3 linked regions of the Struthio camelus genome follow. The protein of the gene in region 3 interacts with the protein of the main gene of each other region in a biochemical or structural test. Links are inferred from orthologs where the notes say so. Each region holds a gene or a part of one and is shown on either strand. Other genes may lie near its edges.

Region 1 (3,745 bases), on a different chromosome or scaffold from region 3:
ATCATTTGTACACCATATATAATGGAGAAAGCATAACTTAAAGGATCTCCCACCCCCACTGTCAATTCCTACAGACAAGGCAATCAAACCTAGGTCACACATGCGAGTCATGCTTTTACAAGATGGGGGGAGTGGGAGGGAACAGACAAAACAGAACTTATTTGGCCTAGAACTCTGTATTTGGCCAGAACGTTCCTGAGCACTTCGGAAGAGTTGTTTAAACCAACTAAACTAAAAGAAAAAAAAAAAGCCTTTTTTTTTCCCTGAATCAAACTACCCCAGTGAGTTCCATCAAATGAGGCTTACCTAACACTACTATTTATTGACTCTGCATTGTCCTCACACAGAGGCATTTGACCAAATTTGCTTCCAGCATCACCAGCTTAAATGTAATCATTCCAGTTCTAATTTACACTAAAGTAAGGTTGGGGGGGGGGGGGGCAGAAATCACACCTAGAAGCTTCTCAAAAGAGTCAGTTCATCATTATGTGCAATTTCTCCACAAGTATTTACTACTACTATTAGCAAGAATATTTTCTGTGGATTTTCTAACTGTCTTAAAAATAGAGCTTGTGAGTCTTACTCTGTAGGATTGTTTAAAACCTTCATAGGCAGCATTAGTTTAAGAAGCCCAAACAGACTGTGACTAGATGACTGAAGATCTCACAAAATCTCTTTACTTCCCTCTAAGTTTAAGGTGAAAGAGAAGCCTTAACCCAGAAGGAAAAAAAATCACCAATAAACACACAAACAAACAAAACCCCACTATTTCTATGGATCATTAATATCTCACTTAACAGGTGGTCACTGAAAAGCAATCCAAATCTTGTTTACCTCCTCACTACTCTTGACGATGCTGACTTACTAAAACCAATTTACAAGATTTTTTCCAGCTAAAATATGCAGCAGTTCTCTACACTTACTCCACAATCTAATGCTCATGTTCTTCAGGTATCAACCACTTCTTCCAGTTCCTCATTAGTTTTTGCCCATTCCCACTGCTTCCACAAAGAGCCTGTTGGACCTCAGTCGCGTATAAGAGATTCCTCAGCCCATACCTGCAACTTGGATGCCAATATTAATCATATTCTTGCTGTGAATATATCGCAGGAGCAGCAGCGGACTCCTCAACGCCCTCTCTACGTGGATTTTCTCTGACTCACGTAAACAATCAGCATCTGCACACCCACCTACAGTCCTTATCTTCACACTGCAATTTCAGCAGCACCTTGCTAGTAAATCGAGTTGTCCCCATCTAGTGTTTCTTGGGATTAGGGACAGGAAGAGGAAAAAATGGGAGACTGCTAACAATTTAGGAACCACTTTGATCCACTGCGTTGCTTCCAGACCACCCTCTATCATCTCCACACTGGTCAAAAGAAGTCAGCATTGTCAATAGACACACCTGACCAGATAGCTGAGCAGCCTGAACACAGTGAAATCTGTCACCAAAAGCACAGCAGCCTTAATCTAGTCAGATGTACCCACACAATTAACAACAAATAAACAAAGAGATCAAAAGAACATCACTTCTTTTGATTTCTGCTATGAAGCAGAAAAAGTCTACACTGGTCACCCATCTAACAAACCAACACTTCCTCAGAGAGGTGAAGAGAAAAAAATAGAGAAAAACCAAACCACAGAACTAACGGAATAGATATGTCACTTCCAGTCTCTCCTCTCAGGACTCATTCCTTCTCTGCAGCCAAGGTGTTTCCACACACATAAGTTTCTGCTCGGTGAGGAGGAATAAAAATTAAACTGTAAAAGTACCCAGCATCAGGACCTTCCCACACCCCCAATAAATAGAAGGAACCCTTCCCAGTCTGGTCCCAATTAGTCACTGCTCATTAAAATGAACTATGTAGTACAGTCTTGCTAAAGGATCATTTCCACATACAGCGTCTTTCCTAAAATACCAGCAAGACATGAGAAGCATCCAATATACAACAACAGGAGCACAGGAAAGCATGATTGGCAAGTGACGGTCCTAACACACCACTGCCATCAGTAACACTGTACGTTAATTCACTGCTTCTTCACAGCTATGTGACTCCATGGTATTTTTCCCCTCCTTATTTTCATGTGCTTTCTGAGAGGCCAGCTTGTGCCAATTTATTTTAACATCTCCTTTTTTATTTTTTCCTCCTGTTTGTTTGCTTTTTTTTTTTAAAAAGAGTGAGACAACAAGATTATAAAAATACTAGAAACATGAGTCTGTCCTAGAGCTGCACTGTCCAACGCGGGCAACAGAAAACACGCGCCTGTCACTTGCTTCTTTCCGTTGTGAAATCCGCGACGAAACGCAAGGCGCATCCCCAAAGTTCCCATCACCGCGGAAAGCCACGAGCTTGCCCTGAAGCAGGCCGCGCTTGAGCAGGTTACATCCGTGCGGAAAACAAAAGACACATGGGAACAGCCAGCGCGGGCCGCCCCGAGGGGAGCGCGTGCTTCTACTCCGCTGCCGGAGGCGCGGGTTGCCTTTGGCCCCCGGGAGGATGGAGGGAAGACAACATCTCGCCGCCGCCGCGCCCTGCCCGGAGGCTCGCGGCGGGGCAGCGCGGCGCCCCCTACCGCCCGGGGCCGGGAGAGGGGGCCGCCCGGCCGCCCCCGGGCCTCGCTGCTGCGGGCCGCCCGGCCGCCCCCTCCTCTGGGGACCGTCTCCGCCTCGCGGCCCGGGGCCACGCAGCTGCCGTCCTTGCGCGGTACAGAGCGGAGGGGCCAAAGCACTCCGACAGAGCAGAAATACACACGCACATGCATACGGATATACAAAAGATTCGTCTGTGCAGTCCCCGGGGCAGCGACGCGGGCAACTTACAGCAGAGGACCCCCAAGTAACTGAGAAGGAGCAGGCGGAGGCTGCGGCTCGCCATCTTCCCGGCAACAGCTGCTTTCCTGAGGCGGCAGCGGCTAAATAAACGCGGGGAGACGCCGGGAGCGGCGGGGCGAGGCCGGACCCGGCCCGGTGGGGGCGGCCCGGGGGCCCGCGGCGGCCCCGCCTCGCCCCTGCCCCCCTCGGGCGGCGGCGGCGGCGGCGGCGACTCCGCGCTCGCCCTGGGCCGTTGGCGGCGTGCCGCGCCGCGCCCTCGGCGCCGCCGTTAACGGTCGCCTGGTCAGCGGGGCTGGCAGCCTGCGGGGCGGCAGGGCGGAGGGGTCCGCACCTGCGGGCCGGCGGCGGGGTGCGAAGGAGCCCCCGCGCCCCTTCTCCTCCTGCTGGCTGAGCCTCTCTCTGTCCTCTGCCCGCGCCGCTTCTGCGGAGCCGCAGGGCACTTGTGCGGCGGCAAACTTTGTCAGAGCCAGGAGATGAGTTTCCTCGCACGCTTTGTCTCGCCAGGGCGGCTCCGAGAGCAGCGGCGGCTCTACCGCCGGCTGCGGAGTTTGGGGTTAACTCGCCGTCCGCTCCCCCCTTGAAGCGTGAGGCAGGGAAAGAAAGGGAGCTGCGGCAGCGAGCGGCAACCTTGGCTTCAGCTGCTGGCACCATCCGGCTCGTCCGTCTGCCCCTGGGACCAATAAAACGCCCTGAAACGCTCCCAAGTTTTTATTGTATGCCGTTCTTCATTCTGATTTTTTTTTTTAATGGGACATCTACATAAGCTCGAGGAGATTTTTTTTTTTTTTTTTTTTTGCACAAGAATAAGCTTTAGCTTTGATTACAAAAAGCTTAAACTTCTTAAAGGAGGAGATCGCAATCGCTATTTGTACCAAAGTCAAACGCACCCGGGGCCAAGAGAAATTGGTATAA
Region 2 (3,745 bases), on a different chromosome or scaffold from region 3:
GGCTTATAGTCTTTCTTAGAGTTTCCCTAAGCACCCTGAGTTTCCAAAGCGTACAGGTCAGAGTTTTGCAGCTTGGAGCCACAGCATCTCGATGGCTTTGTAAACTTCCTGTTGTGCCTTTTTAAAAACAGTCAGTTGGCATCAAACACATCTTTATGGTCTTATTCCTTCTCTGGGACTGTCCAGCATCAACCCCGCAGACTTAAGTACATGCTTGATTTTACGTACTGCTGACAGCCTCTTCTTAATGGAATGCCTCCCAGTACATAAAGTCAAGCATAGCCGAGCAGCTCCCAAACTTTTCTAGTCTCAGCCCCACTTCTGGCCACTCTTCTGGGCTTATGACCCCAAATTTGAGAACAGCCAGAAATCTTTGCAGGATGAGGCACTCTTGATTTGACTAGAATCCTTTGTATTTAAAGGGGGAACAAATCCTGTTAGCCCTTGGTTTACTCACCAGATAAATGTACTCTGGTCAGAGGTGTGAAACTAGTTCCTTTGGCTGTGTTTAGCAAGAACGTTCATCTATCTAAACAAATGCAGAAGTATCTGTAGTTCCTTTCCAGTCTTGCTGTCTTTTAGGCCAGATTCAACAGTGCATTTAGGCAACACTCACATAAGAGGGAAAGGAAATGGGGTACTTTTCTCCCTTGCAATCCAGCTGTAAGGAAGAGCTGTGTTAAGTCTGCTGTATTCCTCATTCAGAGCAAGCATCTGAAACCAGAGTTAGCACCTTGAAGACTATGTGATACTCCAAAATCGAGCACTCCCAGTTTCTCCTCCTGAAACCATTCTGCTACACACTAACACAAGCAAACAGACTGTGGAGCACACGGTGGAACCATCTCCTTCTCCTAGGAGGGTGCTCCATCCAAGTTTCCAAGTCATTTTCTCATCCTTCAGCTCATTTTTTTGTAAATAGTGCCCAAATCCCACTTTACTGAAAGCCCAAAAGGCTCTGCAAGTCATTTGGAGTCAGAGAATTGTTTTGTTTTGTCCTTAGATAACCTGTTAGAAATATTTCAATAAACTTCCAACTTGAGTTAACCCAAAACAGTTATTTACATACATGTGTGCATATATATATATAAATATACAGACGCGCACACATCCCCATGTATTTTAGTAGCCGAACTTTCCAAATTAGTTGCTGGTGTCACCCTAACCCTACTCCATCCCTTTTTCTCCCTCTGCTGTTTGCCCAAGAGGGGGGAGAGCAATGCAAACCCACCGGCTGCTGTCCCCCTCCTCATCCCCACACTATTAATAGCCAGACAACAAATGAGCCCAAATTCATTCCTGAGCGGAATTAGCAAATGTTTTTGCAATTAAAACTGCAAACATTCATGCGGGCCCCCCAGAACAATAGGCGCCTGTGCCTGGGCTTGAATAGGCACTAGTGTCCGCCCTGCCTGCCTGCCGAGGCTGCACATTCCTGGCACCCTCATCCCTCGACCTGCTCCTTGCTGAACTGAGGTTTTGTCACTGATTTTTCCCATCTCTGGTTCCCCCCCACATAATGCCACGCTCCTGGTGGGCGAGTCCTTCCCCTGGGCGCCAGGGCTGCCCCTGGACCTCTGTCCCATCCTCCGGCACAGTGCTGCGCAGCCTGTCTCCACATGCCCTGAACCCAGTGCGGGACCCGCGACTGGGACAGCGCAGTCCCCCCTGGCCTGGTGTGGGGCTGGGACCGGGACCGGGGCAGCGCATCCCTCCCCTGGCCCGGTGCGGGGCCAGGACCGGGACCGGGGCAGCACATCCCTCCCCTGGCCTGGTGCGGGCCCGGAACCGGGACTGGGACAGCTCAGTCCCCCCTAGCCCGGTGTGGGGCTGGGACCGGGACCGGGGCAGCACATCATTCCCCTGGCCTGATGCGGGACCTGGACCAGGATTGGGGCAGCGCAGTCCCCCCTGGCCCGATGCGGGACCGGGACCGGGGCAGCGCAGTCCCCCCTGGCCCGGTGTGGGCCTGGGACCGGGACCGGGGCAGCGCATGCCCCTCGGCCCGGTACGGGACCGGGACGGTGCATCTCCCCCTTCCCCTACCCCAGTGCGCAGCCGGGACCGGGACCGGGGCAGCGCATCCTCTTGCCGGTGCGGGGCCGGGGCCGGGATGGGGACAGTGCCTCCCCCCTCCCGCCCCGGTGCAGAGCCGGGACCGGGGCAGCGCATCCCCCCGGCCCGTCGCGGAGCCGCGGCGGATGCCGCTCCGCGCCGGCAACAGATCCGCGCCGGCGGGCGCGGGAGGAGGGAGCCCCGCTGCCGCTGCCGTTTCCCTTCCCTTCCCGTCCCGCGGGGCCCGGCCGCGACTCACCGAGCAGGGGCAGGAGCAGGAGCAGCGCCGGCCGCCGCAGCGCCATGATGGGGTGTGCGGAGCCGGCCCGCCGAGCCTGCGCACTGCCCGGGCGGCGGCGGCGGCGGCGGCGGCCCGGGGGCGGGGGATGCCGCGCTGCCGTCGCTGCGGACACCGGGCGGGGAGGCGCCCGGGCCGGCGCCTGCCGCCGCCTGCCCCCCGTCTGCGGGAAGGAGGGGGGGAGAGGGGGGCACGGCCCCGCCGGCCGGAGCTGCGGCTGCGATACCCGGTGCGCGGTGGGTGTGCGGGTCCCTCTAGCCGCTTCGCGTAAACCACCGCTCCGCCAGCGGGGAGAGGTGCTCGTTCAAAGCAGTCTATGGGAACCGTTTGCTAAGCACCGCTTCAGTAAGAAAACTCAACCCAGGACGAGGAGCTGTAAAGGCTTTAAGTGTGTGTGGGGGGGGGGGGGGAGTTTTGAGCGTGTTGGGACTTTTGTTGGTTGATTGGTTTGTTTTTTGGTGAGGAGTGAAGCGAACGAGGAGTTTTCCCGTCTCTGTTCAACAGGGGAAAAAACACCGTGGAAAATGTTTTTGAGCCACCAAGAGCTGCAAATAAGCTTGGAGGCAATATTTGAGCTTTTGATTATCAAAATAAATTAAGGTTTCACTTTGGAGAGGTTTTTTTCCCCTCTCTGTATTTAATGAGACCCCCTAAACAATCATTTCTTCGTGAGAAGTTCCTATCAGCAAGCTGTCTCACATTTCATTGTAAACTTTTGACCAGTTTAGAGCAAGCAAGGAACTCTGCTTTGAAATCAGCAAACAGCGAGTTGGGATCACAGATATGACAGAGCTTAAATGAGAGCGATTCTGCCCTGAAAAGTGACTTTGCCCAAAGAACATCCTGAGTTGCTGTGTGGTCCTCAAAAGGACCCTAGAATCTTTTTCTTTGATTCACGAGAAGGAAAAATATATACATGTATATCAGCCCTGGACACTCGCTCTGAATTCAGCAAATCAGTCTTGGTTAATTTTGGTTCATGCATCACTAACGCTCAGTATTCTGTGACAGAGAGATAATTAAGATCATGCTGAAGATCAACCAGCTGGAATGAAAGCCAAGCTCTCCTCTCTTCTCTAAACCAGCTCTGCAGAGTTGGTAGGAATTAAGGGATGCAAAGATGAATTTTACTTGATAATGTAGCAGGTCTAACTCAGGATGCTAATGAGTAGACTTACAAGGCTGATCCTCACCTGGTGAAATTAATACAGAGATTCTCATCAGTTCTAACAGCCAAATGGGACATTTCACTAGTGATGAAGGGGAAGAAATTAAGACTATATGGCTGAAAACCCTACTCCACCAATCTTAGGGCTGGGGCCCTGTTGAGTAAGGAGTCATTCGAACATAGTCCATTTGGACTAAAATGACAGGAGATGCAAAATACAACGA
Region 3 (3,745 bases):
GAAGCACTCTCCATGCAGCTCCCTTATTGCTAATCATAAACTGAAAATCATGACAAAGCAAGAAGCAATCTAAGAAGGGAATTGTCAGTCCTTCCAATATGCTTCAGGTAGTCCTGCTGAAGGAATTGCTGTCAGCACATAAAGTAAACACACTCATTTTTGCAGAGCGAGAAACAATGCTCTTTTTGCAAGTATGAAAACCATCAACTTAATTAAAGTATTCTGAATAGTCTTCCACCAGATATGTTTTTTTCCGTAACATTATAGTTGAAGTTAAGTAGATTTCAATGTCAGCTTGATAACAGCTGCCAGACCCTACATGCATGTGTGCCTTTACTCTTTCAGTATACGAATTACTTTGTCTCCTCTCCATCTCTTTCTGAAGCGAAGATTTGCTCAGTTGCTGCATTAATGTAGAAAGAAACCATCAAACTATGATAAAAAGATAATAATAGCTATGAAATTCTATCATTAAAACCATAAACTTACCATGTTAATCTACAATGAGCAAAGGAAACATCACTATACATTTACTTGTGAGACACTGAGGATTCAGCTCCTGACTACCAACACATCTCCATGGGAAACTTCCAGTGAATTTAAGTTAGAAGTAAGGTTTGACAGTGACTGCGTAATATACCCAAAGAAATGCCTGTGGACTCTGCTACTGTTTTCAGCCACAGCGTTTCCATATAATAGAAACAATCTCAGTAATTACAGCTACCTCGCGTCCATACCAGTGGCATATAGCACAACCACCATATAAATAATAGTAAATAAAACAACTGTGTCATTTAAAACCCACGAACAAGAACTTTGGGGACTAGGGGAAGGTCAAAGTCAGAATGCAACCCTACAAATAGTCTTTGCAGTAAATACTTCAGCATGTCACAAGAAGAGTTGCATCTTGATTTTTTGTTTCTTTCCACAGGTGGACCACCTCGCTGCTGAACACACCCGTACCGCTTGCAACCACATAACATTTTTCCGGTGACTAAAATATGTTGCTCTTGTGTTCACCACTGCAATCACTTCCATTCTTAACAATATTACTGCCATCATTTAACACAATTTAACTGCTGGAAACATGAGTGCAATCCAGTGCCACATGGTTATCCCTCGTGGGTCACACTTTTGGAACTCAAGACATAGTATAATTAGTTTTATCAGTGTTGTAACACTGAAGAACTAGTCCTGCAAACACTTTTCATCCGAAGGTGCAGCTAAGCATTTAGCACTCTCCCAAGCTGTTACAATTTACTGAAGCCCTTAACCCAAAAGATACTTCCGGCCACTGTCTCATACTTGCATGCAGATTGCTGCCATGCACGTTAACTGCACTGTATAAATAAGTAAATGCACACATGGCCATATCTTAGTAAATCATTTTACTCTTTCTCCAGCCAGTACACAACTGTGCTACAACAGGAGTAATAAAAATATATTGAGAATTCTTTTTTTCTTCTGCAAAATCACATTATTCAGGAGTAAAGTAAAGAGGGGGGTGGGAATTCTAGTTACCTTTCTCCTCACAGAAACCAGAGGTTCTTTCAGAGGAAAATAATAGTAAAAGTTTTATTGCAAGTCTTTTCAAGCCAGCCAATACTAATCACAATATTCTTTCAGCTATAAGGTACAATCTCAGTGAGTCTTGAAGTCAGTATTTGCCAAATCAAATCTTCCACGTTAAAAAGTGTAAAGAAAGTTAGAAAGAAAAAAAAAAAGATAAAACCCACAAAAAAACTCAACTCTCTGAATGAATTAGGGAGAGAAAACAGGGGAAGGGACACCGATTAAAACTTCACTGAACAACTTCCATATTGTCCTAATAAGCAGGTTGATGGGAAAGAAGTTTGCAGCAACAACTGGAAAGTAATAAAAAAAAAAAAAGAGAGAGAGAGAGAGCAGCAGCAGCCCCACCAAACCGCCGAGGGAAGGGAAGCCTGCACACCCACAGACATTTCAACATGGGGCTGGCCGAGGCCGACACGGGCGGCCACGGGGATCCGCGCTGCCGCGGGCCGGGGCAGGCGCCCGGTCCCGCTCCGGCGGGGCGCCCCGGGCCGGGCCTGCCCGCCGCTCCGCTCCGCTCCCCTCTCGGCGCGACGCGGAGCCTGCGCGGCCGGGCGCGCCCCGCTCCGCCGCCGCGGGGCCCCGCGACCCTGCGGCGGCTCCCGGCACCGCTCGTCGAAAGCCGGCGGCAGCCGCCCTCCCCCGTCCCGTCCCGTCCCGTCCCGCCCGGGCCTGGCGCGGCCGGGAAGCCTGGGGCTGGATTTCCAGCCCTCGGCGGCAGCCCCCGCCCGGCCCGCGGCCGCGGGGCACAGCCGCGGCCCGCCGCCGCCGCCGCCGCGAACAAAGGGCCCCGCGGCCCGCCAGGGCCCCGCGGCCGCGGGCAGCCGCGCCGGGGCCGCGCTCGCCGCCCGCCGCCCCGCGGCGCCTCCCGCCCCTGCGGCTCCCCGCGGCGGCGCCGGGCACACGCGCCCTCCCGGGGGCCGGCGCCGGCCGCCCCGACCCCAGCCCCTGCCCCGACCCCAACCCCGGCGCCGGCGCAGCCGGGGCAGCGCGGACCTCTGCCCTCGCCTCCTCCCGCCCCGCTCGGCTCCGCTCCGCTCCGGGAAGCGCCATATTGATCGCGGGCGCCGCTCCCGCGCCCCTCACCTTGGCGATCGCCTTCTTGTACCGGGTCACCGCTTGCTGGATGAGGTTGAAAACTTTCATGTTCCCGTCCCCGCAGGGCACGACCACCCGCGTCCGCCCGAAGCACACGGTGACTTTCATCCTGCGCGGCCGGGGGGCTCCCGGGTCCCTCCGGCCCCGTGCAGCCTTCCTCCTCCTCCTCCTCCTCCTCTCCGCCCTCCGCCACGGCCGCCCCCCGGCGGGGCGCGGCGCTCAGCCCCCGGCCGCCGCCGCCGCCGCCGCCGCGGACGCGCCTGCCTGGGCGCCCGGCGAGGGGAGGGCAGGGCAGGGGCGGCGGGTGGCTGCTTCCTCGGCGGGAGCGCGGCCAGGCGGCAGGCCGCGCCGCTCACATGCCGCGGCGATGCCCGCTGCCTGCGGCCACCTGCTCGGCGCCTGCCCCGGCGCGCAGCGGCGGCGGGCGGGGCGGCGGAGCGGCCTCCCCGCTCCGGAGGCGCGGAGCACTGCAACGGGGCGGGGGCAGGCGGCGGGCCCCGGGCCGGGAAGGTTGGTGGCCGGTGGGAGTTGGTGGCCGGTGGGAGTTCGTGGCCCGGGGGAAGTTGGTGGCCAGCGGGAGTATAATAGTCTGCGGGTTTGGTGGTCAGGGGAGTTCGGTGATGGGGAGGAGTTTGATGTCCCGAGTCCACGGTGGGTGGTCACAGGGGTTTGGTGGCCTGGGGGAGGTTGTGGCCGGCGGTGTTGGTGCCTGCTGGGGAGGTCGGGCAGCGGGTGCTGTTGGGAGCAGGGGGGCGGCTGTTGGGGCTTGGAGCACCGCAGTGGCAGGCAGCGGGAGCAGGACCCAGGCAGCGTTTCCCCCATCCCGTGGGTGGTCAGCGCAAGGCTGGTCAGTGAAATAAGACTCTCGGGTCACGTAGCTGCTTCAGTGTAGGCAGGTACACGGGCCAAGGCCATCATTGTGGGGGGGAGCATGTCACACCAAGGCCTCTTCCTTTGCTTTGCCCAGTCCCTTGGCTGTGGATGGGCCGGTTCCTGATGCCGAACTCGCACAAGGAACCGTGCAAAATCCTTGGCCCTCACCCCCGGTTTGTCTGCACAGAGGAAGAGCAGGCAC

The links.
Region 1: the proteins of PARD3 (region 3) and JAM2 form a complex in vitro, tested with the Homo sapiens proteins (2 studies listed by BioGRID and IntAct, with this or other methods). The link is inferred for Struthio camelus from reciprocal best matches to the Homo sapiens genes PARD3 and JAM2.
Region 2: the proteins of PARD3 (region 3) and JAM3 form a complex in vitro, tested with the Homo sapiens proteins (2 studies listed by BioGRID and IntAct, with this or other methods). The link is inferred for Struthio camelus from reciprocal best matches to the Homo sapiens genes PARD3 and JAM3.

The regions. Positions count from the first base shown.
Region 1 is NC_090942.1:117,216,439-117,220,183, reverse strand, and holds the start of JAM2 (junctional adhesion molecule B), read right to left. Parts: upstream 2,443-3,745; 5' UTR 2,332-2,442; coding exon 2,265-2,331; intron 1,291-2,264; exon of another isoform or gene 1,087-1,290; coding exon of another isoform or gene 1,059-1,086; intron 1-1,058. UniProt on the Homo sapiens protein: Junctional adhesion protein that mediates heterotypic cell-cell interactions with its cognate receptor JAM3 to regulate different cellular processes. Plays a role in homing and mobilization of hematopoietic stem and progenitor cells within the bone marrow.
Region 2 is NC_090963.1:5,624,952-5,628,696, forward strand, and holds the start of JAM3 (junctional adhesion molecule C), read right to left. Parts: upstream 2,461-3,745; 5' UTR 2,361-2,460; coding exon 2,315-2,360; intron 1-2,314. UniProt on the Homo sapiens protein: Junctional adhesion protein that mediates heterotypic cell-cell interactions with its cognate receptor JAM2 to regulate different cellular processes. Plays a role in homing and mobilization of hematopoietic stem and progenitor cells within the bone marrow.
Region 3 is NC_090943.1:15,894,492-15,898,236, reverse strand, and holds the start of PARD3 (partitioning defective 3 homolog), read right to left. Parts: upstream 2,858-3,745; 5' UTR 2,779-2,857; coding exon 2,659-2,778; intron 1-2,658. UniProt on the Homo sapiens protein: Adapter protein involved in asymmetrical cell division and cell polarization processes. Seems to play a central role in the formation of epithelial tight junctions. Targets the phosphatase PTEN to cell junctions.